Caenorhabditis elegans: one gene and its partner. The protein of the gene in region 2 interacts with the protein of the main gene of each other region in a pairwise test. Each region holds a gene or a part of one and is shown on either strand. Other genes may lie near its edges.

Region 1 (16,308 bases), 8.4 Mb from region 2:
TATACTATTATTTTTAATTCAAACTGGAGTTCTAATTATTTTGAATGCTATAACAGATACAGACAAAATGCTTTATTATATGAAAATGAAATTGGAAATGCATGAGAGAATTCATAATTTGATGTAAAAATTGACTAGTGTAACTAAAACCCGCTACTTTATGGTACACAATAAAATTCTTGAGAAATCGGAAATACAAATTCGCATTGATTCATAAATTTTGTTGATTGCATCAATTCACACTTCCATTCGGTCAGGTTGTTTGCTGGGTACTGGCGCAACGAGATTGTCTTTCTTCGAAGCATTATGCGAACAGACAGATTTACCGCGAACCGTAACCTTCAAAACGAATGATAATTATGTAAACTACTGAATAGGAACGGAAGTACTTACCTCTAGAAATGCGACTAATTCGACACAACAGTACATAATCAGGGTGGGCCAGGTCATCAGCCAGTGGAAAATGTTGCGGATGATTCCCGTTTTGTCCTTAGTTTGTCTGGGGAACACCTAAACAAAGTAATTATTTTTGAGAGAGGTCATTATGAAGTATGAGGATATTACCGGTTGGCAAAGGTAGTTAACCAGGAAAACCGTAAAGAACCAGATGTACTGGAGACCCAGGAAGCCGAACATGATGATCATGAAACATTTGTTGTTTGGAATGACAAGCCCGTTAACGCCATGGTCGACTGCATTTAGCATAGCAGGGGTCTGAATTTTATATCTTCCATTAAGATATGTTGGAAAATAAGATGATGTCTTACCACAATAGGCGCGATTAAAGTGTAAATTGAAGCAATACAAAGAAGAAACCCATAGTAAAACACAAATTTTGCGGCGAATGAAATAGAAACTGTAACCGGAAGACGGAAAAATTTGATGGCAAAATAATGGAAGACTTCAGCAGCTCCAATGGTCCAGCGTCTGATCTGTCGTGCCCACTCGTACCATTCGTCGATATAGTTCTTTCCTAAAAAAAAAGGATATAAATTTAAAATTAAAATTTGGGAAGCAAACTAAATATATAAATACAAATCATATTTTTTCCAGAATACTCACCGCTGGTGGGTCCAGACAAGGTGGCAACAGGGATCGCTCTGATCACACATTTTCTTCTCACAGCCAATGACCATCTAATGAGAGCAATGATATCGTCCATTTGATATCCTGGGTGAGTGTATTCTCCCTCCTCGAAAAGCTTCAATGTGAGTGAGAAAATGCTCATGGTGTTGATATTCCATGGAATAAGGTATCCCATCATGAAAAATGCTCGCAGAAGACCAGTTATTCTGACGAAAAATGGCGATTGGTCTAAGTTGATGCAATAAAACAATGGAGATTGCCAGACAGTATAGGATCTTTGCTTTGCAGAAATTTTCCAATAGTCTTCTTCTAAAGCATCAAAGTATCTATCTCCGAAAACACTGTCACAGTCTCCAGTGGTAACAATCAGTTCGACATTGTTATCATACTCTTCTAATGGATAGTTTTTGTCGGCTCTCAACATTTTGACCGCTGTCCTAGCCGCGTAGTTGAAATTCGAACATTTGCCTGGAAAATCAAACAAACGTTGGCATTTTTCTCTGATTCGGTTTTATTTACCTGGAATGTCTCCCGGCAGTCCACGTGGGTGGAATGTGACAATGAACCGCTCGAACTTTGGCCCATATTTGTTGTCCAGAATGCGCTTTTTCTAAATAAAAGAGCACCGTTTGAAAAGTGATTCATTGGAAAAAACACCCACCTCTTCTTTGTCCGGAGTTCCTCCTTCCATTCCAACAAGACAAGTGATCTTTTCCTTCGCATTTGGTTGAGAAGCTATACTCTCGATTGTATCCATAAGCAAATCTAATGGTTCTTTATAGACACAAAGCCCAACTAAATGCTTCATTTTTAGACCTGCTTCATTCTTGACCTAAAATGTATTCAATGGAATTCAAATTGCCTATCCAGATTGGCTCACCAGGTCGAGTCTAATTTCATGAGATGCAAATCTTCTCAATCGCCATGTGTACCTTAGTGCATTGATAATTGCAATAATCCAAAGGCAGTGGAGAATTATTGAGATGATCGTCACAATTTCAAGGGCAAAATCCTAAACATTGAACGGTTTAAACACGACTAGAAAATCAAAACTTCCAATTGAGACACATGAGATTTGAAAGCATATGTTGGACTAGGCCACCATAACAATTTTTGAGTTGAAACTAAATTTAAAACTCTTGAAATCGTGGTCTAGAACGATATCAATACATTTATTACCACATTGATTCAAAATTAATAATGTCCATTTTCGAAGAATTGTTATTACTTTAATGCCATACGCCTGATTTTGAAGTCTACGACTACTTTGAATTACTTTCCTTGTTCGATTATCTACTTGAATATTTTTTCAACTTACGTTAACGGCAGGGATACAAGGGATCCAAATGGCAGATGTGATGAATAAGAAAATCAAGAAAGTGAATAGTAAATTCCATCGAATATAAGCATTTGCAGGTTTGGCCAATCTGCCCGCGTATGCTCCAATGCTAAAATTAAGAATATTAATTGGACTGCTTATAAACATACATGTTTTCAAATTTCTTTAAATTTAATGAATTTCAGAAGTCCAACAATTAACAAAAAGTTGTTTTCACACTTACGAAAGTTTTAAAATTTTATTAGAATCTATTTATTAGATCATCAAACTTTCACAGTTTTTGCAAGATATTAATTTTCTAAAGTTAGCCGTACCTCCTAATACTTCCTGATATTTGACGTTTGACAGATTTCTTGAAAGTGCCAAAGCGGGATTGTCTCTTACTGCCTTGTTGGTAAGCTGTTCGTCGCTCGGGCAACGAAGAAGCTTTTTGTCTTATTTCATATTTCTTTTCCTAAAATTTGATGTACTTTTATTTAGATGTGATGAATAGAAACAATGCCATTTTTTAAAACTGATTATTAAAAAAATTCTCAAAAACTCACAATATTATTAAGATCAGAAATATGAATGTCGGAAAGTTCTTCAATTGTTGGTATTTCATCGTCGATACGATTTGTCGTTGTCATTGTAGGTTAGGTACCCACAAGAACTGAAAAGTACCTGATTGCGCTTTGTGCTCCACAAACTTTTATACGAAGGAGTTGCCCAAGAGGCGGTGCTTTTTTCGTTTTACCTACGTCTCCCCCGCAAAAATTTCGGTTTATTATGTTTAGCTCACAGTGCAGTACACAAACATAACTGTCCCGCCCCTCATTCTAAGTTTTGATGATGATGTCAGAAAAATATGAAAAATGATGATACTGGACACCCATGCAATTTTGTATCTATCCCTTTCATTGAGTCATCATTGCCCTCAAAATCGTGGGAAACCCTCCACTTTAACTGTGTTGCTTAAAAAAACCATTGATCACTTCCATTTCAACGTTCGCAGCCAGTCTATGTTTTCAGATAAGTTTATGTATGTACCCGTGTTTTCATGATTTCCGACCATTCACAAATTCCTATTGGCATAATATGAGAGTAAGATTACAAATAATACTTAGGTCAACTTGCGCCAAAAAAGAAATTAAAAAATATAATATATTTTTCGTTGTAATAAAACTTATGTATTTTAAATTAGGAGGGATTAGGACACAGACATTGTTAATTGGCAAATTTAATTTCATTCGTGAATTTGCATAATAAATTTTTATAAAAAGCGTTATTTTATTTTTTATTAATTTTATAAAGTCTATCATCGCTCCGATTCAAATCATACTAGATTTCATTTTCATCCTAGACACGTTCTCAGTGAAATATGTGTATTATGTACATATACTTTTTGAAACTCATTCAAACGAATTTTCATCATTTTCAATCATTGTGGGTCATTTTTTTAATTTTTGATTAATTGATTCATTTAATCTTCTAAGACAATGTACACAAGTGCACTCGTTTTACAACTTCCACGGTAAATGTGTTTAACAAAAAAGTTCAATAAACTGGGAGCGATGGAATTGAACTATTGAATTTTCAAACAAATAATTCAAATTTAGCTGTTTGAAAAATCTCGAAAAAAACAACTTCTAAAGGTCATACTTTTTTCCAAGTTATCAGCAAAACAAATATTGAAATTATGGCAGACATTCCGGTGGGAATCGTTTTGCAGTTTATTACATTTTGACCATTCTTTGGGTGGAGCTTTTAAAATTTGATGTAGATCTTTTGGTTCATTTACTGATGCATTTATAAATGTTGGTGACGTGAGGTGAATGCTTTACAGTTCAAAAAATTATGTTATGAACACACTCGATTTAATCACAATGGTATTCTGAAAACAACACAGGGTCTACGGAATTAAGAAAATGTATTGTTTCAAACAACATATTTTGAGTTGCATACTTTTTCAAGAACTCCTGCAATATTTGCATTTGAATCTCAGACATTCTTTTCCAAACAACTACAAAAGACAAAACTTAAAATTTATGAAACGTATATTTCGAAGCTAAATGAGTTTTTCCATGACAATATCAATAAGCACCCAATGGTACACTAATCACTTCCGTTTTTCACACAGGGCATTTTGGGAAGTTCCTCTTTGTCATCGCAAATAAAAGTAACCAGTTGAGAACTGGTCATTTCGGTTCTCTTTGAAAAACAAACAAACAACACTGTTCCGTTTACTGCGTTTTGCTGGACCTGTTGCTGCTTTTCAAAAATGTTTTGTGATTGCCTTAGATAACTTCATTGACTCTGATCGTCAAAGAAAAAACGAAATTGTCTATTTGAACAAATGATCATGTTTTGCCGCGGAGCAAAGGTTAAGTAAGTGTCACCCAGCACTACAAGGGTGACTAATTCCCAAAATACATCAAAAAAGTAGCTGGGAAGTAATTTTGAGTACGGGAAAGCATATTCAGCTCGTGGAAATTGAATAGTTTTTGTTCATGAAAAGAAAACACAATTTAAGGTCAAAGTTAATTAAAATATAATAAATATTTAGGAGAGTCACTTTAAACAATATTTGAAGATGATTTAACACGTATGTATAATGTCTTTCGTCCAAAATAATTAACAAAAATTTTAGCGCAGGTATTTATTAAACCATACTAAATTGAATTTCTAACAACATTCTGTCATAATAAAAGTGTGCAGGCTTCAAAAATGATCACCATAATAATTAATCAGTATAAACAGAAAAAACAACTGGCGGAGGCTTATTATCCATGCTGATGTGTTTTTGTACTCACTATTAGTTATTAAATTAATATGAAAAGTGTTTGAACCCCCCGCCCTCATTTAATTCAAACTGATCAGACACATTAAACCCCTTTAAATATGATTTCTGAAGAATGCATTAGCGATGCAACTTTAAGTACAAAGAGTCTTATACCTGTCACAGCGCTTTATCGTTCACATATGCCTAGGCACGCTCGCTAATCCGTTATCTACAGTTAATTCTTTTCCTACAATTTAATGCCCAACTGTTGATTATATCCAACTTTGTAGAGGGAAGTAACCATTTTCCTTACATTTTAAAAGTAACTCGGCATTGGCTCTAGCTTCTTGCCCAAGTTTAGCCCAAAAAATATTAACTTGGATCAGAAGCTGTCTAAACTTGGGCAAAAGTTAAGCAAAACTTTGGCAAAATTTGGATTCAAGCTTTACCAAAGTCTAACCTAAGTTTCACCCAACTCTTGCCAATTTTTGGCCCAAGTTTGAAACGAAATAAGAAACGTTTGGGCCAAAGTTTGGCAAGAGTTGGGTGAAACTTGGGTCAGACTTTGGTAATGCTTGAATCCAAGTTTTGCCAAAGTTTTGCCTAACTTTTGGCCAAGTTTAGACAGCTTCTGATCCAAGTTAATATTTTTTGGGCTAAACTTGGGCAAGAAGCTAGAGCCAAATGCCGAGAAGTTTTAAAAACATTTTTTTATGGAAAACGCCAGTGTGAATAATATTTCGAATAACTCATTGAAAATAAGGAAATTTATTGAAAAAAGTTTTCAAAAAATGTAGCTCTAGTCATTGTGATATTTATGCAGATTAATCCTAATTATATCCTAATTTAAGTAGTCGACCAAACAAAACATTTCTGCGAGATTCATATTTTAATCATGTTTTTATGATTTATAAATAAACGAATGAAACGTTTCTCCGAATGCTTTATGTGGAATTGTTGGAGATTTTTTGCTGTTCTGTATTTAAATACAAAAATTTATTAGGTTCCCGAAGTATTGAGTTTAATTAGAAAATCTGAATTTTAAGACATATGTGTGACAGCACTTTTTTAGATGTAATATAACCTATTATCAATTGTCATATTTACTTATTTTTCATAAATTTAATAATTGATATCTGACTTTAAATGATTTTTTTTTCAGAATGATTCTCCGGGGAATTGCCCTCTCCCTGAGAAGCCCTTATCCCCGAGGGTCCCCATCCCCGAGGGACCCCCATTCCCTAGGGGCCCGCATCCCCAAAAGGCCCGCATCCCAGACTGGTCTTCATCCCCGAGAGGTCCTTATCCGAGAGGAGCCGATCCCCGAGGGGCCCCCAACCCCGAGGAACCCCATCCCTGAGAGGCTGCCGTCGCTGATGAGCCTCTCATCCGTGGGACACCCATCCCCGAGGGGCCCTCATCCTCGAGGGGCCATCATCTCCGAAGGAGATTTTAAAAAAGATACTTCCGATCTTTGAAACGTTTTCTAACAAAATCCAAACTGGCGCTTGTTCATCTTTAACCCATCCGCCTTCAAATTCATATCTAGATCGCAATAACCTATAATATACAGTACTGGCCAATATTCTATTCACTTTTGATTTTCCAGTTTTTTTAACTTTCCAATGTATATAACTCAAAAACTTAGGATTTCTCCAGGAGAAATACCTATGTATGTCTAGATTATTTGTAGCAATTTCTCTACAAAAAAATCTGGGTGCCAGTCATCTTGCAGGTCCACTTCAGTAAATTTTTCTTAGAACCGCAACCACTCAAAAATCGGTTTTTAAAAATTTAGTAAATTATTATCTGAATTTAATTATATATATTTTTGCAGAAGCTGTTTCATGTTTTCATAATTATTTTTCGTTGAACTCTTAATGTATCAATTAAAGTCTTGTTCATGAAAAAGTGAATTCAGTGATTGTAATAAAAACTATTAATTTGACACAAATTTTTAAATATGTTTATTTTAAAAAAATAGTGCAAAATAAAATAAAAACACATTTTTAATAAGCGGAATATGTATATTGTATATAGTCATATATTGAATTGTCAGTCAGTTGCTTTCACAGAAAAAACAACTTTTTAGAATTCATGTCACTATCTAAAGATTTTCACCAATCTTTACTTCTATCAAAATGTTTACAATGACTCACTTTTTCAACCTTTGTTGCACAATACATCTTTCAATTTTTGCTCAAACACTTGGCATTGTTACATTTCATCTAACATATTATGTTCCGAGTTCAACTAATGATCTTTCTCGCTGCGCGCGTTTTTCAAATTCTTAAGAAACTGTGAAATAATTGACTATGTTCTTTGACCGAGCCTCAGTAGTGATGCCTCCCACGCCGCAAACTTGGGAGCAACAAGTCGAAAAAAATCGACAAAAATTGCTCCTGATCTTCGTGACACGTCAGTGTGTCACTAAGAACAGACATATTCACATGTCTTACCACAGTTCAAAAGACCTTTTACAAACACAAAACCGTTACATTTTTTGCCGTCCCCATCTTGCCAGTCTTGTTTGCACTTTTTCAGTGTAGTTCGGCGTTAAATGCGAAAAACCAAGTTCAAAATCTTACAAAGCTTTAACAAATAGATTGGTGCCGACGTCTGGGCTGAGCAGTTTATATCACAGAAAATGCAGGGAAATAATAAATATAATCAAGTTTAATTAACAGCAGTGTTCCCCAAGACACACTGTTAGTGCTCCCAAAATGACATCCGCCGCAGATAAGATGAGGGCTCCAACTGCAAGCCAAAACGAGTATCCAAGCTGAAAAATTAAGTTGTGAGTTTGTACAAACAAAGGTTTATGAGCAGCTTTTGCGCCTTAGGGTATGTGCAGATTGGCCAAAAAGTTGTTCAATGTGAGATAGGGAGGGTTTCTCAAAGCTTTATAATCGGGTTTTAAAGGGTTAGAACATGTGTAAAAAAAGAGTTTTAGTGAAGTTTAATAGTTTCAATCAAATAATTTTACACTTTTTCCCACATTAAGAATAGCATTCTCACCTGCGAGTTTGTATTAATTCCATTTGTAAATTGATTCCATTCAGCTGCATAAACAATAACAGCGATGAGCAGAAGAATAGTAGAGATGACTGCAAAGAGGGTGAGTGGATGGATGATATATTTCTTGCAGCAGCAGGCAAGGCTGAAAGTTGTTTGAATTATATTAATGTCGGCTTTCGCTAATCTAACCATGTCAAAAAGTTGTAGACAACTGCAAAAATTTGGACAATCAAAGAGAGGATCATGCAGACGACGACACATTTCATCCATCCTGGAAGATTCTGAAAACAGTATTTTTGAGCATATAAATAATTTCATCAACATACCGCCCACCAATCCTGACACTGGGTTCCCTGAGAGTGACCAATACATGACCAAGGCATCAAGCCATTCCATTCAGATGTGTTGATATGAGTTATATCTTTCACATTATTTTCAACAGTATTCCAACCTGAGAGTTTGAAAATTCACTTTTTCTAACATCTCCAAAGATGAAACATACTTGGCGTAAACAAAGCAACTGCTGTTAAAATAGCACTACCAGCCATAATAAGTCCATAGAGAATTTGGGTGAGTCCGGAAAGACACATTGTGAACCTGAAACATATGGTTTTAATTTTAATATTTTTTTCAGAAGATTGACGGACAAAAAGTATTAAAAAAGTATGAAAACAATTTCTCCTAAATATGGAAATTTCTATTGACGACAGACAAACACATGGTGGCATCTATGCAACCACCTAGTTACGGAATGAGAATGCACTTCAATGTAAGAATGACGACAGCACAAAATACTAAAATAGCCTGCACATTTGACAACTATACATCTTAACCAAAATATGAAAATGATGAAATAAATGCTCAAAGTGGGCAGAAACAGTGTTTTTCTTATCGCCATTGCCAACTGGGCTGTAAAAGTTTGGGAGGGACACAGGAAGAAGTGATAAAACTAGATGCAAAAAGTCAAAACGGATTTTTTTAATTTTTGAATAGATTTTAGATACTCGGAGAGTGAAAAATAAAACAACAAACGTCGTTTGAAGCATTCAAAATATTTTCACAAAACCTGATGTATCAAGTTACATTACTAAAGGACCAATTTTGGAAGAAAATTTCACAACCCGAACTAGTTTTCAAGAAATAAGGAATGGCAACGTGCTATGTCACACAAACTGGAATGAAAAAAATGCTTCATAGATAAGATTGAACACTCAAATATTTACCTTAAATGTCGATGGGACGGCGTGAACTTGATAGAAAATATGAAAAATGTGTGTTATATACAAGAGTTAGGCTAGTTTTAAAGTAAAGAGGTGGAGAGAAATAAAGCGTTTGCTTGCTCGTATCAGTAGAACTCCTCGACACGTCATGTAACCGTTTTCGGTATGATTCAGTCAAGAGATAGACCAAAAAATAAAGTGTTGATAAGAAACTCAAGTTGGGCGTTGTAGAATTTTGAAAGTTGACATAGAGCCATTTCTTAATTTCTGTTAAAATTCTTTGTGAGTCAGCGAGTTTTGAGCAGATGGAAACGGTGATTAGTTCGTATAATCGTTATCAACTTACAGTCAGATGCTCAAATATTTCGACGAATTTTCCTATCATTTCAGCCAGTATCTTTCGTAGTTTTACAAAAGTGGAGTTTACGGTGAATCACGTATATGCGAACACAAAAGTGACGTGTTTTCATTTTTCAAAAACTTTTGTTTAGTAAGCTTCACTCAAAATGTTTTGAAACAAGCTTCAAACTTTCAAATGATTTTTTTGTGAATATTTAAAAAAAAAACTGATTTATTGGCAAGAAACAGGTGGTTTCAGCTAACTTTCTTTTTACGTCTGGAAATATAAAAAATTCGAAAACATTTTTATTTCGTGGAAATAATAATAACTTTAAATTGTTGGTTTTTTTTTGGTAAAGATTGGAAAATCAAAGCTAATTAATTTTCCAATCAGATCGTTAGCAAATTGTTCAAGATTTTTATCATACATGCCTGAACAATAATATTTACTAGAAGGTTATTTGATGTTTTAAATAACCAAAACAATAATGATAAACGGAATTTATGACTTGACATTTTTCAAAGTGTATCAGGTATGTGAAATAACCGAACCTTTAAAGGTGGAGTAGCACCAGTGGGGATTTCGTCTAAATGCACTTATAATGATCTAAAACAACCGAATATCATAAGAAAAAACTCCAACAAATTTTAGATGTTTTCTAGTTTCCGGTCAAAGTTTTGGCAAGTTGTCAAAATTTTGAAAAAAATGTGAGTTTTGAGGAAATCCATAACTATGTCGAATGTTCCGACTACTACAATATTCTATTACAAATAGTTAAAACAAAGTTACAGTATGATAAAAAATGTAGGAACAAACTTTTTTTGGTCGACTTCCGAAATTAGTTGCAAAAACTGAGTAATTTTCACATTTTGACAGTAAACAAAAAAAAAGTTTTCAAAAAAATTTTGAAACATTTTATTATGCTATTCGGTCATTTTGGAACCATAGGAATAGTTTTTCACTCTTTCCCTACTAGCGCTACTCCACCTTTAGGTTTTTTTGAGTTTGAAGACTACCAATGTCAATCTATAATACAAAAGAAGAATGTTGTCTATTTCAGCATGTTGCAAAAAACGTATGAAACTTGGAACATCGAGAATGCTCACGACACGGGTTCACGACGGGTTCACGACACTAATTGTGGATTTGTTTGTTTTGATGGACTTGAAATAAAACCAAAAAATTGAATTTCACAGTGAAAATTTCTGTAGTTATCAAAAAAACGCTGAAAACTGGACCAAATTATTTTAAAAAATTATAAAAATAAGCAATAGAAGCAACTTGGCAAAAATTAAAGGTTTAGCATAGCTTGGTTTCTCTCGAACGTTCCAATTTCCATAAATCCCTACTGAAAGAGTTTTGCTAATTCAAATTACGAAAATATCATATGTAGTAGATCTGTTCGATTTGGGTTTCCATTAATACAAAGTTCTCAAATTGCTAACTAAAAATGAGTAGGAATGAAAGTAAACAGAGAAACAGTTTCTTGGAACATATCCTCAAAAAACTTAATTTGAACAATTGAAGTAGTATTGCAAATATTTTATAAGATCTGAAAGTTTACAAACAACAGTTGATTGAAAAAAACAAGTGATTAGTACTTTTCAAAAAACATCTGACTCATTCTAGCATCAAATCAATGCAGAGCGTTTGTTTATTTAAGATACTATTTACATTCTCATCATTTTTATTTCTTGCTTTTGTTGAAACATCCTGTTTAATTTAGTAGAGGTTTCTACTTTCTCTGGTATTTTTAAACTTGGATATGATGTGTTATTATCCAAATGTTCTTCGAAACGTGTGAAAATGTTAAAAATACATACTGAAAATGTAATCAACGGAACTACTTGCTCGAACGGCATCCGATTGAAATCTGCGGCCGTTGGGAAAATGAAAAATAAATGCTGGAAAAGAAAAGAAGATATGAAGAAACAGCGTGAAGGAGTGTATTTGACATATGCAAATACGTAACGGCAATGAACTTTAGCCGTGTAGCGCTGACAGTATTAACTCTTCTTCTTGTCACCTTTCAATCAAAGTTTATATATTTTCTTTTCAGAAAAGTTGTTTGATAATATGTTGTCTTTTGTGTTTCATTTTCTATGTGAGAACGCATCTTTTTGTTATGCTATGACGTAGAATCATACTTGAATAACTGACAAAGAAGCTATGAAAAGGTGTTCGTATATACAAAAGGATTTTCAACTTGAGATCTGAAAAGTAAAGTGTTTTTTTTTAACTCGATGAATTCAAAAGATACTGTATATACATAGAACAACCAATGAAACAGCTTATGAGTTAGTAGACAATAAACGTTTTCAGTTTCTCTGAACTTTCCAAAAAAAATTTCCGGAATTTTTTACAAGAAATAAGCGTGTCAAACCTACTGAATACCATCCTGGGAAATACATCATAAAAATTGATGAGATTGTTTGCAAGCAAAACTAAATTCTGTAATTCTACAGAAAATGCACTTGAAAAAAACTAGGATGCCCATTTTTTCAGTGCATATTTGAATAATTTTTCACAAGTTAACAACAAAAATATGTATATTAAATGCAAATTTATCGTAAAAAACTGATCAAAATCATCTGCGTCAATGCTGAAAAAACCGAGAAATTTTAAGATACAATTGGAAATTGATATTCTGAAAAATAATCAAATGCATAATAAGGTAGAACTATTCAAACTCTACAAGTGAAATATAACAATTTATTAAATGGAGAAATTCTTAGGAATTGTCTTTTCCAAATAAATTAGGGGGTTTCATACAACCTTTTTGATACAGTTCAGTTGTTACAAAACATTCTAGTTGTTTTTCTGGCATATGTATGTCTCATGCACAGTATTTCGGCGAACTCAAACTTGGATTTTTTTCGTATTTCAAACAAATTTTTAAAGATTTTTGAATACTTCTCAATACCTTAGTGTAATTGTTTTGGAGTTTCAGAAAGGTGCACCTATCTTCTTGTTGCAATGGTTTAAAAAGTTGCTTCAAAAAAAAAAAAAAGTGCAACTGCGTGCCCTCATAATTGTGTTTGCGAATCAGTGCGCAAAAATCTATCAGAGCCATGTGACCGACTTCTTTTAAGTTCAGTTCATTTTGTTTTGAACATCATGTTGGAATGACTTTCTGCTCTAGAAATATCATTTTCATTCCTTCACCAGGGCTCTCCGATTTCTCATCCATTTTTTGAAATTTGAAGCGAAGATTTTGAACCGCCTCCGTCATTTTCAACGCCTTCGTCTTCCGCTTGTTTCTCATTTCCTTTCTCAGACGGAGTTCGTAAATAATTTAAACATTTCTCAGGTTTTTTTTTCAGTTAACTCATTGTTAAACTATTCGGCTTTAAACTTTTGAACTTATTACGCACACAGAACGTGAAATGAGAGTTCAGAAATAAATCCATTTCATTTCGTAGTGTAGATTATATGTGTATTAGAATTCTTTAAAACCGTCTTCTAATATAATGTGAAGTAAGTGATAAATACAATTTTACAAGTATGGATTGTTCAAAAATCATTCCATTATGTGCTCCTTATGTATGCTCCATGATTCAGCCTCTTTTTCGCATGCAGCTTAAGAAAAGTCTGACTTGGGCAAACAAACTATGATTTTCTAGAGATTTTCCAATAGATACATTTTAAATGTGTATTGATGGAGATGATGACGATGGAAAGTTTCGAAAAAACCGTTCGTCACCCCCAAACACACGTCTAAATAAGCTGGTCTCATTTTTCCTAAATACATCCTTGTAAAACAAACATGACACAGATATGGAATAGGCACAGCGCATCCAAACAGTGTGCTGCTTGTCGGGATGAAGTTTGAAATGTGGAGAAGCATTTCATGTGAATTCATCCGTTTTTTTTTAACTTTGAACCTGTGTTCATTAAATTACTTTATTAATAAGCAGAGTGATAAATTTCTCTGAACCTTTTCAATCAAATTGCGATGCTATTAGAATAGAAAAGAAAACTTCTGCTATTTTTTAGAGTACTAGGCAATTCTTCGCCACTTCTCAATCAACTTTACCCACTTCTCTGTCATTAGCTCTTTGCAACTTTTTTTTCAACAAAATTTACAGAAACCAATTTTCGTTGATTTTGCAGATAATAGCCAACCGTCATCCACACTAGCAAGTTGTTCAAAACACTGTCCTATATAACTTACTTTTTCAACTTCACCTGACAGAGCATGTAATATGTACTATCACAATGATAAATCATTTTTAATAACAAGTTATCCTTTTTTGGTGAAATCAATTGAAAATCACGTTATATAGAGCGTTTCTGTAAATATAAATCACATAGCCTTTTCTTCTTCATTTTGGATATCAATTTTTTTCTAATTTACTTTTACTAATTTACAATTTACATTAACTTTTCATTATTTCAGGGCTTTCCGATGTGAAATGGATGATAATTATGGTTTATTTTTCCCAAGTCATTCGATGGTGTGCTACCATGAACCTCGAATACACGACCATGAGCTGTATTTTCAACTTCGGAATCTCAATCTTCTTTTATTGCTTCCAATTGCAATTGGTGGAATTCTTTGCAACGCGTGTGCTATGGTAGGTCTTTGGAAAGTGTCAAAATTGGCCTGAAATGTGATATGCTCAAAACGTTTCCACAATCGCCGCCTGGCACCGTTCGGTCCAGAGCTGGTCATTCTCTCCAGACACGCAACTTGATGAAAATCATTGAAACTGGGTCCCACAATGCCAAAGACAAAAATAAATTCAAACAGAATACTATCAAATTTGAAATAACGAGTTTCAGGTCTCATTATATAGACCACCAAAAATTACATCTGGAGTATTTGTTTATCTGAAAGCACTTCTTCTTTTGGATCACGTGATGCTCACCACCACCTTAGCAGCCGAATTTTTCCCTCAGATCTGTGATCAACACCATATGAAAAATCATACATTATATGGTCCATGCATGTTTGAGAGAAGATTTTTAAAATACACAATGCCTAGGTAAAATGGCTACATTTGTTTTTTCTCAACTGAATTTTCAAAATTTAGAGTCGAAGTTACAATACATACACTGCACGTCTGGACAATAGCCACACTTTCAGCTCATCGTTATTGGAAGGTTAGAATTAGAAAATAATGTTTGATACTCATGATCTTTTCTAAGATATCACGTCCAATGATTGCAAGACTTCAAGACACGGTTAGCAGAGCTCGGACAATGTTGATAGTAATGTTTTGTCTGGTAATGTTGTTCCGGCTGCCTATTTTTGTATTGGAACTTGAATTCCGGTCACATCCTCAATTGAGAATTACCAGAAGAATATCCACAACAGAGGTAAGCACGTTTCCACCATATCATACGTGATATGCTTTTGGTTTAAATTTTATTTTATTTATATTTTGAATATGTTCACTCACTGAAAACAATTGTTATACTTGGTTTCAATTTTGAATTTCAGAAATTTGTGACTATGATCATATTAAAGAAATCGCTTAATTGATTTTCTTAAGATCCTTTCTACGTATCGATTTGTTTACCATTCCATCTTGGATCCTCTCTTTTTCAACATTGTCCCATTTATGTGGATGTGCATTTTTTCGCTGCTCACTCTTTATGAAATCTATAAAAGTCGCCACAACACGTATCAACATTTGGCTTTTGATCATCCCAAGCAAACCAATGTGACGTATGTGCGAACTCTTTTTTTAACATTTTTTGTGAATCTTTCAGACATCCATTAGCAGGTTGCTTTCCAAAAAAAGCTGAACTAATCCGGCAGAAACAAGAACTTCGAGCCACTTTCTCAATTGTGGCTATAATCCTTTTGTACTTGTGCTTTCACTCGCTTAAGTTATTTGCCGTTGTTCGAAAATGGCAACTTTTGGTAAAAAGGGAATGCCCAACGAGGTAAAGGATGAATAAAACCCCCATTAAAATAATATATTCATACATTTTTTAGAAAAGACTACTACCATTCACACCTCTCTGACGTTTTGAGTATGATTTCCGCATCGGTGAACGCATTCGTGTTCATTGCGTTCACGAACCGACTAAAAAAGTATATACGACTGCTTTTACGGAAAACATCACGGACTCTATCCAACTCCAGTGATCCGCCCATGAGCCCGAAAACTGTGACGTCATATGAAAGTGGATGCAACAACAATTTTAATATTAACATTTGATAATACTAATGATTTTGAATGATTTAATGAGTAATCCTGATCTCAAAAATGATATCTTTGTATGTAAATTTTTTAAGGAGTCTGCATTTTTTCACAGCAAACACATTTGCATTTATTCTTTGCTCTGATTTCAAATTCAATTCGAAAAGTAGGAGAAATCACTGAAACCCAAAGTATTGGTGCAAAAATAAGTACTTATAACAAAGAATACATAGGAAAGTTTGGTTAAGTGTGAGTTTTTTTTGGTTAAGTGTGAGAAAGTTTGGTTAAGTGTGAGTTTTCATAAAAATTAGTATTTAAAAAATGAACCACATAATCCAATTATACAAATTTTTTTGTTAGCTGTTCGTCTGCTTTTCAATGAATCTTCT
Region 2 (17,952 bases):
AAAAATGTTTGCTTTATTTGAAAACATCTTTAATATAATTCATAAAAATAAAAATAAAAAACTGCTTAGAAATTGTCTCTAATTTAATAAGAGCCGGAAAAATATCCCACAAATTATGGAAAATAATTTCCGGCAATTTTCAACTTGCATACTATTTTTGAGCATTTTTACAGTTGTTTCATATTAAATAAAACATTACTTTTAGATTAAAAAAAAAGTGTTTTTCTATATTTTATTTTTAACATTTAATAAAATATATCACTTTTTGCTCATTTTGGCTCATTTTGTAGATTTGCCGAAATTGCCGCGCACCCCTGATATGTACACTTTACCGGAAATTTTTAAAAATTGATAATGCACTAAAAAAATAGTAGAAACCATTAGAAACCAGTGTACAATTGATAAATGGTGTTTGTATCTGGGCATTTCATGTTGAAAAAAAATCGCCAAGGTCATTTGTTTGGTTAGGCCAGTGTACTTGAAATTGGTAGTGTTAGAACTTATATTTTATTTTTAAAATAATTGATTTTCAATTTCTTTTTTCATTTTTCTTCCAATTAACTCTTTCCATTCAAATAGAATTTTGAAATATACAAATTCTCAGTCACCATACACAACTTATTAAAGCGCAAGAATTTTAACATGCCCAGCAATGCTTAAGAGACGCAGAGTATATTCACCGTAGTTTGAAGCGAGGGTCTCGAAGCGATGTGGCAGTGAGAGTGGGGCTGCCTTTTCCTCGGGTTTGCACCCTCTCATCCGCCGCTATTGATTCTCTTTCTTTTCTCAATTTCCCTCGGGCTCGATGGGCTCGCTGCTTCTTTTCATTTTCGTGTTTTTTTTTCGTCAGCAGGCACATTGAATAAATATTCCGAGGCAGGGTCACAGAAAATTCTATGTCAACTTTTCTTTACTTTCTTATTTAACTCTTACTTTGTCCCATTTAGACGTTTCCAGAAAATGTTTTTCTCCAAGCTTGGATCATTATGCACTAGGATGGATTTTCGTGATGCCAATATTCCAGCCGCCTCTTTCCACACCGTTGCAGCTATTCTGGTAAGCTTTTGCACATGACTTCAATAATAGTATTCTCCAATATTTCAGGCAATTTTCGCAATGATGTCTACAGACTGGATTCTCATTGAAGATATGAGCACAAAAAACGGCACAACCGACATCGACGCTTTGCAGGTGGCTCAACTTTACATGAAGAACACAGAACCCTGTCATGCAATTGGTAAGTCTTGTTTAGCATTGCAAAAAAATAAATTGTGTAGAAGCTGAGAGCAGATGACTGTGCAAACTTTTCAAAAAACCATTTTCTTGTAATGACTTTTACATTAAAACTGAATCAAAAGCTGGTAATACAATATTGACAAAACGGAATGCGATGTTAAAATCAACACGATTAACAGTATCTTGAAAGTGAAATGATACTTCAAATTTAAACTTAATCAAAAACATTTGAAATTTTTTAAAGATGGGGTATCATAGTGAAAATGTTCTTTAGAAAAATCAAAATTGTATATGATTTTTTTTTGAAAATTGGAAAAATCTAAATTTTTGCCACTTTTTGGAAGTCGTCGATCAAAAAAAATTATTTATGGTCTATTTAAGTTTTAAATTTCAAAGGTGGAGTAGCACCAGTGTGGATTTTGTTTAAGTATACTTATGATGATTTAAAACGACCGATTAAATAATAAAACACTCCAAACAAAGTTAAGCACAGTGTTGGCAAATTGCTAAGCTTTTGGAAAAATATGAAATTTCAAAGAAATGCAGAGCAATGTCGCATGTTAGAATGTTTCAATAGATATAATTAATACAAAATAAAAGTGTGAAAGTCGTAGAAAATACATATTTTTGGTCAACTTCCAAAATTATGAGTGACGAAAATTTGTCAAAATTTTTTAAAAATCGTGTTACTTTTATTTGTGGACATTTTGACACCATACTGGCTCTACTCCACATTTAAATCAAAGATTGAATGAAACATTTGATTTGCAGGATGTCACAATTTTTGGGAAGCCGTCCGATTTGGAGGATATGTCGATGCTGCTGGAAACTCTCATGTGGCATTTCATACACCGACCCGAGTTCTCGTTGACTGCATAACACCATCAACAGCAAACTATTTCTACATTCTCATAGCTCTTTGTTTTGTAATTTCTGCAACATCATCTCTTTGTGCCACCATGAGCCTTCTCCCTCCACCAGCTCCATTTCTCGCGTGGCTCCGCAGTAATTCCATTTTGGAAATGTCCAATAGTATGGCGATGGGCTCTTTTCAAACAATTTCCATTAACTTTTTCAGTGATGCTTACTCTTTGCTGCTGCACAATTGCCATCATTGCGCAAACCGACATTTCCGACCAACGCGAAGACGACATCGTTGCCATTGGCGCTGGAGTTTTCCTCGTGTGCATTTCTGGTCTTTTGTCCTTTCTTGCAGCAATGGCTAGCATTCGTCACAGGTGAATTTTTGTATTCTTTTAAATTTTAAGTGTTTCATATTTTCAGCAATCGCAAAACTCGAATGCGCAGAATTGACAACCAGCGTCTTCTTTGTGCACGCTCACTACGCTCATGGAGGGATGCAGGGCGCCGTTCGGAGGACGTTTGTCCGATCGTTGATTTTGAGAGGTTTGTTATGTTTGAACAAATAACAAATTTCGAATTGGAAGTTGAAACAGTTGACACTTTGGTAGAGCCAAGCAGGTGTTTCTGATAACTGATAAACTTTTCAACAAGACTTTTGCAAGCTATTATTCTTAAAAATGAAGTAGCTCCAGTGAGGAAAGTGTTTACAACTACTCCAAAATGACGAAATATCTGTATGAAAATTGAAATTTTTTGTGACAGTTACCCACTCATTTTGCCACTCAATATTTTGGAAGTTGACCTAAAATATTTTTTTTCTACTATTTGTGTTGACACATTCTAGGGGTCGGAACAAGCAACATTGCTCTGGATTTCCTTAAAAGCTTATATTTTTCATAAGTTTAGCAATCTGCCAAAACTTTGAAAAATCGAAATTTTTTGGGCTCATTTTTGGTCGTTTAGAATAATTTTGAATGTATTCGACAAAATCCTCTCTGGCTCTACTTCACCTCAAAAAGCAGAACTTTTCAGCTCATTTTAGTTTTTGGGTACAATCAACCTCTTAATTTCGACATTTTTTGACAAACCATAAGCACGCGGCAATTATTGAAAAATTATTTAAATATTTCAATAAAATTTAATAAAAAAGTATAGGCCCATATTTGCTTTACCAGAATCACATTTAATATAAAACAACTGAAAAAGTGCTCAAAAATTGTCTGAAAGTTGAAAATTCCCGAAAAAAAATTTTTTTTTGATTTTTTTTTTTGATTTTGCGACCAAAAAATATATCAAAACTTCCCGATTGCTTGTTGAAAATTGTTTAAACAAATTATTCCAATATTCTTGTTTCCAGATATTTGGACGATTGCACCGAACTCGAGCAAACATCTTCCCAATCAACTTCACAGTCCAATCCAGCCGTTTGAACTAATTTTCTAAGGCTACACGCTAGCATTTTCATCAAGCACCGCACATGTATTTAAATCAAACATTCTTGTACCTTTCCCAGACATAGTCATTTTCTGCTTTGTATACTTTAAGCAATTGTGAATTCTAGTTGTGAATCTCTCCGGTTTTGAAACCACCTTTTCTTTCTCCCCCTTGCAAAATATAGTCCGGTTAATACTCAAGTAGTATTTCTCCTGTATTGTTTCTGTATCGTTTCCCACCATCGAAACCCATACCATGTTTCTGTGCAATTCCATTTTCAAACTCCATGATCTTTTTCCCTGATGCTTTTATTTTCCATTTCAATTCCAAAGACCTTGCTGCTTCTATAGGTGTCCTACAATTATGGCTTTAACTTTTTCAAAAAATTTTTTACATTATGGTAACTTTCAATATTGAACTTGTGGAATATTTTTAATTAATAAACAAGTATGTATTAAAAATTATTTTGTGGAAATTTGTTTATCAATTGGCAAACGATAGGAATAGTTTTTAAAGGTGGAGTACCGAAACTCGAGACTTTGCTTTTTAGACCCAAAATGACCCAAAACTACCAAATTTTGAATTGAGACGTTTTGAAAAATTCTCCAAAAAAGTTACGGCCTTTCAAAGTTTTGGAAAAAAACGATTTTTTTCATCATAGTTTTTCAACTTCTCGGTGTCGCAGCGTCTGAATTTTTTTCTATTAAAGGTGGTGTAGTGGAATATTTTATTTCTTTATTAGACTCAAAATTGTCTGAAAACATTGAATTTTATAATTAAACTTCTTGAAAACCTTTTAAACAAAAGTTATGACGGCTCAAAAAGTAGCCTAAAATTAGTTAAAATTTGAAATTTCACCTATTTGTCAATGTCGCAGCGGCTGGAAACAATTTATTTTTGAAATCAACGTCAAGTTATAACTATAGAATGTAATTCTCTCGCGTTTTCAACTTTATTTAGGTATTTTAAAGTCGATGACGGCGAGATTAAAAAAAAAAAAGTTTACCAAATCTTGCCGTCCATCGACTTTAAAATACCTAAATCAAGTTGAAAACGCAAGATAATTGACGTCTATACTCACAATTTGACGGTGATTTGAAAAAAATTCCAGTTGCTGCGACATTGACAAGTCGGTCAAATTTCAAATTTTAACTAATTTTAGGCCATTTTTTTGGCCATCATAACTTTTTTTAAAGACGTTTTCAAGAATTTTCATAACGAAATTCGGTATTTTCAGACAAATTTGAGTCTAATAAAGCAATAAAAAATTCGACTACACCACCTTTACACTATTACTATTTAATAAACTTTATGGTATTTTATTAAGCGTATATTTGTTGACTTAAGTACATTTATGGTCAGGGAGGCAAAAAATGTAACTTTCTTTGGAAAAATATGCATATCCTACAAAGTATAAACATGCCAAAATTCGCAATATTTCGTATACTTCCTAACTTACATACTTGCTCCATAACATATTCTTTGAGCCCAACTCTCTCAATGTTGTTCAATTTAATGTTTGATGGAAACATGTTCCATAATGCACTGATAAGACAACAACTACCGTGTTGTCAAAAACAAACTGTTTTAGGTTTAATCGGAAAACGATTGAGACCGTCGTCTTGATGGAATATTATGAAATCACTGTCAACAGAACAAGTGACCAAAAAATGTTGTAAAAAGCACAGATGGACATGAGAACGCACAGTTTTTATTCAGACACCGCCTTACAGATGCGAGAGCAACCAGAGCAGTTGATGGGCACACAGGCACGACGATTAGTGGGCAGCCGCCCGTACTCTCTGTCTTTTGACTGCATCTGGGCAGTTGTCTAGATATCGATACAATTTTGACCCAACAACACAGTAAAATTTTGGTCAATATTTGCTTTTTATCATAACTTCCCTCCTGTCATTTTTGATTGTTTTGTGAGTGAGAGTATGCAAATGGTGAGATGCAACTTTTGCCAATGGACTAGTCACAAGACTAAATAAAATAGAAAACTAGTCGCAATAAATTATTAGAGTGAGAAATAAGTTTTGTGGTATGTTTTTTTTGTGTCTCAAATAATATAAATTTTTCAAACGTTTGTACCTAACTTTTTTAAAATTCAATTTTCAATATAAATTGAATATGTTTGAATTCAAAAATATATAAGTCCTTGATTTATTCTGGTAAAGTTTACTAGATTCACTCCGTGCATTTTTATTCTTCAAATATTTGATTAGGCTGGATCAAGGATTTTGATTGTCAAACACTGAACCAGCTTTTGGATACAATTTTGCAGTATTGATCAATATTATCATTTCTCTTATGAAATATTTGTTTTCCAGCATACGAAAATGTGTGATATTTTTATTAGTCATGGTATATATTCATGTGACTGCAGTTAAAATGATACAAATGTTCTAAAAGCCGGAAATATTCTGTACTTTTGATAGCTCGTAAATCTCGTTTCAACGCTCATTTGTGAAAAATGCGACCTACAGTACTTTTGGTAGCGGCGTGTAAACTTAATAAATTTTAACATTCACGATTGTGCACTCTCTCAACTCTCATAGAAGTAATTGGAGATTCTGATTTTTTTTCCAAAGTGCAACGTACCACAGTTCTTCTCCAAAACTTTTCCTATTTCTCAACTTGTATATTTTTTCGCAATCGAACTTACTCACAGATTTTCAATACTTCATCTACAATATTTTTGTTAATAAATTCTGAAAATCGGAACATACTGCATTGCTCTGGATTTCCTTTAAAGCTCACGGTTTGAAAATTTTGGAATTCGCCAAACGTTTGACTCAAACTTTCCAAAATTGTTTGGAGTGTTTTATTTGGTCATTTTATTATTATTATTGGTGTATTTAAACAAAATTCCTACATGCAAATTTCGAAAAAATATTTTTGTTAGTTTCAATTATAAATGTTGTATATTTATCATAATTAGGAGACAAGAGCAAGATCACTTTCCAAGTGATAAAATTTTTTTTTTGAATTTTCAAGAAAATTTTCATCAACTATGTTTTCGAATTTGTTTTAATGGAGAATGTCATCTTTTTAAATAGTTAATAATTTTTTTCACAAAACAAATCCGCGTGTTTTTGGAAACTTGAGCAGAAACTTTTTCTATTTGTGCTTCAATGGTTATTTGTCTTCACTTTTAATAAACTATCAATTGCCATGTTTTCATATTTTTAATTTTCCACCTCATAACTCACCTCCCTCGCAACTCAGAAAATTAACATTGGCTTCCAAAGTTCACCACCTTTTTTTCTCTAACCACACCATACAAATAGAACTGTTATCAATCTGAAATTATTTAAAAAGACGTCGCTGAGATAAGAGCGTCAGTCCTTTACACGCGGCACGCAATGAGAGGAGCACTGCAGTTACTACTTTTTGTTGGTACAGTCACTCTGGTGAGACCTATTGTACACTTTGAAAATATTCTAGTTAAATTTTTATTCAGGTGGCCAGCAAGCTACATGAGTCCCCTTACGTTACCGAATGCTTTGATGTATGTTTAAATTGTTTTTTTGTAAGTTCTCAATTTGTTTTAGGGGCACTACAACTTCAGAGGCGTCTGCTTCCAATGCACTCCATGTGGTGACTTCATGTACGAGCTGTAAGTAATTTTTTGTTGATATTTTTTATGCCAAATTCATTCAAAAATTACGGGACACTGTCTCATCGTGGAATCTGTAATAAAAAGTCTGTAAACTGCCAGATTTAGCGGTTAGATCTTTAGATACTTGAAAAACCAATTCCTTATGAAATTGTAAAACATAAAACAATCTGACAGCCCGTGTATTCAAACGGTCTTGTCATTTAGCATTGATGTCAGAATACTGATAACTGTGAAGAGCATGTCATGCACACCTCGGTGTCATATGGTGTCGTGAAAACTTAGTGCTATTGAGTAACAAGGTGATTGATAAGAATAAACAGTACTTCAGTTTGAAAACAGAAATTTGATAGCAATCAATTTTCCGGGCATTTGTTTATTCAAACTTGTGACTAGCAAAACATTGAACATAGTGAGTTCAACTCACCATGGGTTTTCAAATTAACTCGGCATTTGGAGCATGGGTGTGCGGCAAATATGCCAAATTTGCCCAGCACAGCAAAACTCGAAAATGCAGATTTGCCGAATTTGCCGAGATTGGCAAATTTTGAAATTTACACATCAGTAGGAATGTTTTTCAGAAAATGGGTTTTTAAAAAATTTATTTAGGTACCTTAACTTCAAAATACCCGTTTATAAGGTTCAATTAATTTTCTAATATGAAAGTTTATGAGTTTCAAAATCTGCATGCAACCGTTGTAGAACATTATCATGCAAAAATTTAGTCAGGGGTCAAGCTTGATAAACAATATTTATTTTCAGTTTCTTATGACGTCATATATATATATATTAAACATATTTTATTATCTCGTACGGAAAACTCGCATTTCGTCGAAAATTTCCCTTTTGTGAAAAACTATTAAAGTTTTTAGAGCAAAATGCACGGATACTTCAAACACAGTTTGTGGATGGTGTGGAAACAAACCAAACTTGGACAAAATTTCTGATGAGTATGTCATAAAATGAGGCTGATTCTATTACAAAGTTAGCCCATGTTTCAGAGTGCTTGTCTCTTACCAAACCAAGTGTCTTATGTCTAGCCTAGATTTCATCGGGATGACCAAACTGAAAGACGAGCTTGTCAATGTTTTTGATGATGAAAAGGATAGTGAGGAGGTAGAAGAGTTACCAATTAAAGATAATTTCATCAAAGGTGAAAATCTTGAGATGATTGATTCAAATGAGATCAACTACGATATGGCGAGAAACAGTTTAGAAGATGTGTACGATAGTCAAGAGCACCAGCTACCAGACCCGACTTATGAAGAAGGAGATGATTCAAGTTCTTCGGAAGAAATTGGCGAAGAGGAGAAGACTGATGAAAATGAGATTGGAAGCGAAATTGTTTCGGAAAAAGTCAAAGCTTACATGATTGAAAAAAGTGAAAAAGTTCCGTCTTCTGTTAAAATTGCGAAAGGAAAAACTACAATTGTTTCTCATGAGGTAGGTGGAAAACAACAAAACAATAAAGTTAGCATATTTAAATTGTGCTATGCACTGCGGATCTGGAAGTCAGGAACACTGCCTGGTAGTGCTCTCACTGGGATATAAGGGTGAGGCCGGACTTGAACTCGTGGCCTCCAGATTGCTAGCGACCACCACTACCAACTGAGCTATCCCGCTTCTGAAATATGTCGGAGCAAATCATTGAAATAAGAAATTGAAAAGTTTTGTATACTCAAAAAAATTTTGAAGACTTTTTGACGACCCAATTTTCTTGAACTAACTTTTTTCTTTTTGTTTTTGTTGATTTTCTAAGTGTTTAATTTAAGCAAAATTCGCACACAATTGAGAAGATGCCAGAAAAAGTGGCTCCGAGTTAAAACCGTTGGGGTGGTTAAACATTTTTGAAACTGCCGTCATAAATTCCCTCACTTTTAGTATCATCTATAATCTACAAAAAAATTATTGTGTGAAGCTAACTTTTTGATGTAAACTTGGGATATCTCGCTCTTATGTTTTGAAATTGACCATGAAAATTGAGTGCCCAATTTTTAAATTTTCAGAACTAAATTCATCATTTTAATTTCAGGAAGCCGAGGCCACATTCCGAGAGATTGAAGCCCTACCAAACCCTGTGCGCAAAATCAACCAAGACGATTATGACTCCTCTGAAGAGTCAAACGAGCGTGAAATCAAGTGGGACAATTGGGTTGATGATCAAGTGAAACCAATCAGAACGGTATGTCTGCAAATCTACCCGGATTTCTGAAATTTTTTTGAAATACAGAACGTCGAAGTTGTCGAAGCCGAGGAGATTGAGGAATTTGACCAGCTCATCGCGTAAGTCAATGTTTCAATGATTTTTATTTGAGAAATTTCCATTTTTCAGAAAGTCGCTCAAAAATAGAAGAAAGATCTTGAATGATGAGACAGAAAGCTCACCACTATTCATTAAAAACTTGGGTTCAGTCTTTGTCATCTGTATGGGAATGATCATTGTTGTGTAAGTAAGCTAGATCACGTGGATTCAGAATGTCATATTTCGATTTGATCTTCAAAAAATGCGGGAGTTGAGACGCAGACATCTCATCTGATTTCGCATGGTGCTAACGTCTCAATTTTTCTGGAAAAAAACTTCCCGCCTTTTTTTGTAGATCAAACTATAAATCAACACGTCTCAGATTCTAACTTTTGAACTGTAAAATCTATGGTTTGTTTTTCCAGCACTATTCTCTCTATCACATATGCTTTGATGCGTGCGGAAAGAAAGGAATTCTTGGGCGTCCCCACCGACTCGCAGGACTATCATAGTAGGGATTTCAAAAGAGTTACAAAAAAATCTAATGTACAAAGTTTATTCCAGTGATCATTGATTCCAGCAATTATATCGAGAAGCTTGAAAGCAAGGAAAAACAGGCCAGCCGTCACGTTCATGTCAACCCAGTTTTCGATGTTTGATTAATTTTATCTTCTCCGTGAGAATTATGAGAATTATCTGTTTGTATATTTAATCTTCTTTATTTTTTTATTTTTGTATTTTTTAAATGTGCATCCGCATTTTCCATTTCATTTCTTTTTACGTTCTGAAATAGTAAATTTAAAATTTATGGGAAGAATGTATCTTTGATAAAACCTTTATTCCATTTCAAAAAAAAATGTCGGGGTAAAACACCAAAAAGGGAAATGGGTGATAACACCGCCTGAGGCCACGAAATTTAAGTGGAGGGAAATGAGAGGTGATAGAGATAGCATATAATACCCGAAGTTGCATGAATGGCTGACAATGCTCGAAGAAAAAATCAAACAAGGGATGGTTCTAGAAGGGAAAGTGAAAAATGAAAAAGAAAGAAAAAACGCAGAAAGGTACATTTGTAATTAAAATTTCAAATATGGCCATTAAAACTTTTTCAATACGGTTTTTAAAAAACAGGTAACACGGAGGATAGTGGATGTACACATAGATTAGCTAGACGACAGACTGAACAGAAGCAGTGCCCCTATGCGGTCTACTATTAACAGAGCTGATTGATACGGTACTTGATGGCTGTGCTGCGAAGCCTCTTTTGAGTTCGAGCTCTGCATAGTTCACACCCTCGTGGAATGCAGCGACCGTTGTCCGTTTCTTCTGAAGTGATGATGAGAAAAAAAACAAAGAAATGAATGAAAGAAGTGAACCCAGTTAAAAAGCTTTAAGCAGAGAGGAGGCTGTGAATTGAAAGCTTGGATTGGTTGAGAGCATGCACACCAGCGTTAGAGCCTTGAGAGAGAGGGAAGTAAATAAGGAAAGCAGTAACACAGTTTAATAAGAGACACGCACACACATAAACGGCCATTTTAGTGTGTTAGACGATAGACATGCGTAATTGAGCATCTTTGACAGCCTGGTCGTACGCGTTTACCTAAAATCGTTTGATATTAAGTGGGTTTTAACATTTTAACACGTGAGATATGAGTGGGATGTGAAATGGTGGATAATATGAGCTTAGAAGCGAAGCGTTGGGGAGAGGGTAAGTTATCACAAAAAGAAGGAGAAAACCGAATACCTAAAACATTTTTTTTGATTACTATGACAATGTGTGAGAATGGAATGAGATTGATTAGGAAGTCGGGGGATTGGGATCGGGGGTCGGAAGATACAACCTTCAAACTCAGACGACAGCTTCACGACTCAAATAGACGCCGTACGCCGTATCGCATACCTCGGGTGGGTGTTGTGCGAACAATCGTGGAGCATTTGGTGGTGGCTCGAAATAATCATTTTCTTGGTGAATGTTCAAGCTGAAAATAGGATTTATTACAGCGCTATTCTATGTACTATGATCTTACTTACTTTGCTTTTGTTTTCGGCTCATTGTAGTCTGGGTGATCTTTCACGCCTGAAATTTTATTGATGATTAAACGTGTTCATAATATGTATTCTGCTAAATTATTTGAAAAATTATAACGGAACTCTGCCACTTGGGAGTTCGTTTCCTTAAATTGTAGTACCCAGCCACATTAGGAAAAAAAAATGTTTTAAGCCAAAAAATCTAAAACATGAGAATTTGTTTTTCTAATTTTCATATAGCTTCTACTTATCTTTTTCGATTTTTTTTTCGATCTTCAGGGTGATACATCATCACCGTACGTTATTAATTAAAATTTCAACTGTCGAACTTACAGGAGGGCTAACGGTTCTAGGTTTCCTAATTATATATAAACGAATTTCGTGATGAAACTTCTCAAACTTTCTCAATTTTAGAAAATATACTTATGGCGGTTCAAAATTTTAAACAATAATTGCTTTACCTTGGCTAAAATCTCAAATTTTGGTCGATGTTTTGTGTCGCAGAACTCCGAAATTGGCTTTTTTTAAATTTCCATTCTTTATTGCATATTTTGGTATTTTATCTTACATTATTGATTAAGCTACATTACCTTAATTAATAAAAAACGACCAAAATATGCTATAAATGATGATAAACCAGTTTTTAAATGAGAGATTTTAGATATAATTTAGCCTTTTTTTTGGAAATTTAGAACCCCCATAAAAATATTCAAGAAAATATTTGAAAATATTTGAAAAGTCTTATTAAGGGATTCGATTATTTGGACTCGTGTTGAGTTTTTTTGGGCCTATCCCCAGTAGCCTTTTCTAGCTTTTCGGGCAATTTCACTTGTACTTTTTGAAATTTTTTATCTTTTCCTCTGGTAACATTGCTACTACAATTTGTGACAACAATCCCACAAGTGGCTTGAAACCCTAAAGTTCACCATGAAACTGTATTACTGTACAAAAATTTTTTCCACTGTGAAGTAAATCTCGCATTTTCAAACTCACGTCTTCTAACACAAACTGCAATAATACAGATGACAAACAGCAAAGCAGCGACGCCAATCAAAATGTACATCCAGAAAGTTGGCATGCGACCCACCATCGCACTATCCCCACCAAGTAACGCATCCATGGAGACTGGGATTCTGCAAAGCAACAAAATTGAAACCAGTTTGTCATTCACACGCCTACTGTCCGTCACTATTCAACCATCTTCCCATAAAACACTTCCACAAGTGACACAAATACTTGACGTCTTCACAGCCATAACGTCCTTTTTCTACGACTTATTGTCTCTATTTGCATATCTTATTCGCTCTCACAAAAAGAAAGCCCAAATGAGGAGAGGTTGACCTCACATGGGATTTGACCCCTTCTACTCTTTCTCCTTTTCTCTCGCATTTGTACACAATATGCGCGCTCACTTGAATAGGTAAATAGGAATGTGCATTTGGCGTATAGCAAAGACATTGGAACATCTTATTTGAATAGTAAGGGTCCCCCCCCCCCCCGCGTTTGCTCATTAATCTACTGCTCAACTCACTGTTTCGATCCGAATTGGTTCTGGAGTTTGAGAGCAATCCGACGATATTGATCTTCTTCACGAACTGGGGAAATTGAGAGCCGAGCAATGTAACAGTTGGGAACTGTGTTGTTGGTGACAGCTGAATCAAAACGGAAGTTTTCCCATGATTGGCCGACCTGAAGAGAGCACATTATGTTAATTTGTAATGAAGCATCCCAAAAATTGTTCAAAAATTCCAATTTTGGTCACGTTATTTCATTGGTTAGGGTGCATTTAAAGCCCGAAGGTGATCACAGTTTTTGAAATTTTTAGTCACCTATCGGCTTTAAATAAACCTTAATCAATGAGATAGGGTGAGGTAAACTTCCTAAATTTGTAATTAATTGATAATTAAAAAATAGATAAAAGTTGGGATTGCTACGACACGGGAAAGTGACCAAAATTAAAAATTTTACCTAAAACTAGACTATTTTTTAACGAAATTTTGAACCACCAAAAAAAATGTTTGAGTATGATTTGAGAAGTTTTATTACAAAATTCGTTCATTCCCAAACTGTTGGTCCTTCTTCAAACAAACGTTATTCTTTAAAAACTTAGGGATTTGTCTAACCCTGGCATTAATTGTTACTCGTTTTATTACTAGTTTCGGGTTAAGTTCCCCCTCAGAATTAGGTGTGTTTATTCATATGCCTATTTACATCAAATTTAGGCCGAAGTCATTAATCCAAGATGCATGCGCGAGTTATTAGAAAGTGCACTGCCTTTTCTAAGCCTTTCCTAATTATAAGATCCCCACCTGAAGGTCATTTTGATCGATGCTGAATACAATTTCTCGTGGTGGACGTGGCATTGGTTCGGCACAGTAGTGAACTAGTACTGTTGCGTCGTTTCCGCGTTGCTCAATGCTTGGTGGAGCATCTGAATTGCTTGGTGCTCCGATGACTTGAACGTTGAGACTGGAAGTTCCTGGAGTTTCAAGACTTGGCGAGCATTCTGGCTCTCCTTGGCTGACTTGAGAGCAAGCTGCACACCAGTATTGTCCGGAATAGGAATAGTTGGAAATTCGAAGTGAGCAGAGTGCTGTGAGGCGAACAATGTTAGCGGATCTTCCTCCCTCGGGTGGCAACTCCTGATACTGTCCCTCCAATCCTTGCGGGCAAGCGGCATCAACAACATCCCCATTTGGTTTTCTCATTCTCCAGTAGACAATCGGCCGCGGATTTCCCTCAACCTCGCATCCCATGTTCACTTGTTGATTCATTTCAATTCTGTTGCTTGCAAGGAAAGGAGATGTGGATTGCAATTTTTGGAAGTTGTCCTTCAAAAGTTTTGCCGATGCTGGAATAGTAATGTAATTAGAGAAACAAATAAAAAAACGAAAATCAATTCTTACAATATGGATCAATTTGAACTGCTTGCGACAGTGGCATGTTCGACTCGTCATGCAGACCGTTATTGGCTTGACATTGAATTGATTGCCCAATCATTTCTGTTCCAATCGTGATTTCGGCACCAGTTCCGCTGTAAATTGATGGGTTACGGAAGTTGCAAATACACAATTTACCTTGGACTTCCATTTTTCAACCATCGGTACTGAGTTGCTGGTGGGTTCGATTGAACGTCGCACTTCAAGGTCTTTCTTCTGCCACTTTGTTGGCACAATCCATCAGCGCCGCGGACACATTCCACAAAGAATCTGGAAGCTTCAACCATTGCATGACCCTCTAATTAGTTCTTTATTCCTGTTTAGAATGTGGGTAGAATGAACATTATTTCCCTTTTTTTTGTAACACGCCGAAGCAAATTGCACTAATTATTTTACAACATGACCCCCCCCCCCCCCCCAAGACAGTCTGCATACTGTGTACAGTTCTTTTTTAATAACCACCTAACCACCCTTCGGCAACATCAAAACGTGTTCGTATTCGCTTTTTTAATGGTCTCAATTCTACTTACCTGTATCCTTGGTTTCCAATTAACACGGGCGATTGTCCGTTCGAATCGACAACATGCGGCTGACGAAGATATCTTACATCGACAGTTGCGGGGGACGAATCGACGGTACCTAAAAATTTGAAAGAATTGCGCGTGTTACGCAATATGGTCCAGGTGCTTCTTGAGAGCACTCCTATTCATTCTCATTTCCCTCCACCTACCTCCGTTAAGAGCCGCTTGGCACATGATGGTTGCACCGGTCCAATTAGTGTTCACAGCAATATCCTTGAGTGTGACAGCCTGACAACAAAAGAATGAAAATTATGAATCAGCTCATGCCCCCCCCCCTCTCTCTTTTTTTCTTAATTTGAATAAAAAAACTCATTGTAAGAAATGAGTGACATTGAAATGAGATCAATGTGTATGTGGTTACACCGTCCGAAATTAGTGCAAAAAAATGGCGGGGTGGGCGCCACAAAGAAATGGCGCGTTAAGTGACACAGGATGCGTCGGAGTGTGGAAGTGAATAGAACACTGATCAGAACACATCCGTTATGGTCTTTACGCAATGGGATGGAACAGTTTATTTTAAACATTTTGGGTGAGTTAGGGTTGACTGACGGCTTGGAAAATTTTCAACGTATAGAGCCTCAAATGTGCTAAAACAAACAAATTTTGTTATGCACTTTTTATAGCAGTTCAACATTTTTAAAATGTGATCTACTTTTGGCAAAAATCATCAATTTGATCACTTTTTCGTGTCACAGTGGTCATCATTTATTGCATATTTGAGTTCACTTAAAGCCTATAAGTGGTCAATTTTTAGTCAGGTTTAGAAACCTATCGGCATTAAATTTACCTTCATCAACGAAGTAACCCGAGATAAACAACCAAAATATGCTATACAAGATGAAAAATAACAAATTCACTTCGGACCACTGTGACACAAAAAAGGTCAAAATGGAAAATACTAAACTTTAGACCTTCTTTAAATCAATTTCATGTCTCAATTAACACCATGCACTTATTTCTGTGAGAATGATTGAGTGTCCTATTGACCAATAGACGACAGTAAAGCATGGGAAATCTACTCTTATCAGTAAGTTTTCGCTCTCAAACCCTTAGCGTGTTGCGTAATATTCTATGTGACCCTTCTACAGATTGTCGTGTTTGATTGCGGTCTATGGAGGAAGATGCACCATCTTGATAAGTGGGAACGATAAAAGTATTAGCAAATGACCTTTCTCTTAACCTTCTCTATGTCTCTTCTGATTCTTTTGTTGCATAAATGGAACTTGTCAAAAAAAAATTCGGCAACTTCAAATATCCTCGTGCTTTGTAGAAAACGTTTATGAAATATTTGTTGTCCGTGTTATTAGAATCGTATATTTCGGGGCTTTCGTTTCAATTAATCACTATAATCAAATCAACGAAAGTCAATCCAATGATCCGTGAAAACTTAACACATGATTTGTAGATTTATAGATTACATAATTATAATTTATATAAAGTTCCTCCTCGTTCTCTTTGCAACACACCTTTTAATGTTTGAGAACTCTGAGAAAGAAGGCCAAGGGAGAATGTTAGATGGTTATGAATATACACGCGCATCTCGTTTTCCCGTTACGCAAACACAACCACTAAGCTTCCACTAACCGAAAATATGCACCATAACATTTAGGAAAAAGGAACAGACTGTGTCTATACATATGTCGAGAGAGGGTACTGGTACTTGAAATTGAAACCGTGTATTTAGACGGAAGAAGCGAAAAAAGTGTTTTAAACCGGATGCAACAGTGACCTTACTTGTCGCAATTTGATTTGGAGAACACTTTTTTTTCGAAAAATTTGAAGCATCTCTGCGTGATGAATTAAGAATAAAATGATCGATGATATCACTGTAGACGAAATGAAACAATAATCAATCACGATTTGTCAAATCGGCATCGGTTTAATATAATTTTTCCGGACCTCTGGACAAAACCATTTGGGACCACAGGGATTAATGGGGACCCTCTGTGCTCTTAATCCTAATGTGCGATGTATAGGCATAAAATGACCAAACAGACAAGAGGGTAAGACCTTTGTGTTGCATGCACTATACCGCCACTAGGCCTTGACCTTTCCGTAGAAAGGCTTATTCTCTTAATTTCTTATTTTCCGCTGGAGTTGTGCGGATGTATCTTCCTACCACACACTCACTCACACACACACACAAACACACACTTTTTACGAAAAGTGTAAATTAGAGACTTTTTAACGGGTCGTTAACAGCTTAACGGTACGATTTATGAGTACGGTGAAAGTGGGAAGTGTAAAACGAGATGATGTCAGTTCAGTGCCTCTTTTTTTTTGGTTGCTTTCTTCAAAGGTTGCAGTGACTTGATCGATTTGAGATGCCAAAGAAAATAAGAGAAGAGAAAGAAGGAAACAAGAATCACTAGATTAGGTCGGATTTTGACGCGTAAAAGAAAGAGAGAAAGAGAAAACTGAAGGCCGTGAAATAATTGAAAAAAAAAGAAACATTTGAACGTTATTTTTATGGAGTGGCTATTGAGAAGCGGAATTCCAATCAAAGCTAAAAATTAGTTGACTCACCGGAAATCCAACACGACGAGTTATATCCTGAGCCGAGTTGAGCACATTAACCATGTCGGTAATGTTCTTCTCAAGACAATCGGTGCAAACGAATCGCAGTTGGGAAACTGGAGCCTCGGAAACGCAATAGATTGCCTCTTTAGTTGGTGTTCCGTGCATGGTCCAAACGACTTGGTTAAGCTGCTCGGCATTGGCGACTGGGTAGGGAGCATCAGTGATTTTTACTTGTGCCATTATTTGTGACATCATTTGAGCTGAATTTAGTTGTTTTACTACAACCTGTCGTTTTAATTAACAAACCTGAGCTCATACTAAGCATGATTAGTAGAGTAACTGCTAACGGCAATCCCATGGTCTACAAAATGCTTGTAATAAAGTCGAGAAATAAAAGTTAGAAAGTGTAAGGAAAGTAAGAAAATTTGAATTGCAAAGAAAATCAAATCAAATCTTCATGCTTTGGTTCGTGTTCAAAAAAATACG

The links.
Region 1: the proteins of T02C5.1 (region 2) and clc-1 interact in a two-hybrid assay, tested with the Caenorhabditis elegans proteins (one large-scale study listed by BioGRID).

What each region holds. Positions count from the first base shown.
Region 1 is NC_003284.9:11,040,729-11,057,036, reverse strand, and holds clc-1 (Claudin), read right to left. Parts: upstream 9,592-16,308; 5' UTR 9,428-9,591; intron 8,802-9,427; 5' UTR 8,795-8,801; coding exon 8,707-8,794; intron 8,656-8,706; coding exon 8,531-8,655; intron 8,486-8,530; coding exon 8,394-8,485; intron 8,347-8,393; coding exon 8,205-8,346; intron 7,969-8,204; coding exon 7,867-7,968; 3' UTR 7,762-7,866; downstream 1-7,761. Other genes in the region: C09F12.2 (Glycosyltransferase 2-like domain-containing protein), read right to left, coding at 238-339, 394-510, 565-714, 768-973, 1,063-1,554, 1,606-1,696, 1,748-1,918, 1,967-2,098 and 3 more; C09F12.3 (G-protein coupled receptors family 1 profile domain-containing protein), read left to right, coding at 14,180-14,341, 14,550-14,752, 14,801-14,870, 14,916-15,086, 15,263-15,438, 15,483-15,659, 15,712-15,937.
Region 2 is NC_003284.9:2,688,033-2,705,984, forward strand, and holds T02C5.1 (TNFR-Cys domain-containing protein), read left to right. Parts: upstream 1-6,890; 5' UTR 6,891-6,902; coding exon 6,903-6,950; intron 6,951-7,000; coding exon 7,001-7,048; intron 7,049-7,091; coding exon 7,092-7,156; intron 7,157-8,028; coding exon 8,029-8,106; intron 8,107-8,157; coding exon 8,158-8,599; intron 8,600-9,188; coding exon 9,189-9,338; intron 9,339-9,386; coding exon 9,387-9,439; intron 9,440-9,488; coding exon 9,489-9,602; intron 9,603-9,823; coding exon 9,824-9,909; intron 9,910-9,962; coding exon 9,963-10,057; 3' UTR 10,058-10,241; downstream 10,242-17,952. Other genes in the region: T14G11.1 (Membrane-associated protein), read left to right, coding at 961-1,056, 1,105-1,237, 2,008-2,268, 2,315-2,474, 2,521-2,643, 3,458-3,530; igcm-3 (Ig-like domain-containing protein), read right to left, coding at 10,566-10,724, 11,299-11,377, 11,430-11,475, 12,420-12,559, 12,958-13,115, 13,736-14,277, 14,333-14,460, 14,504-14,635 and 4 more.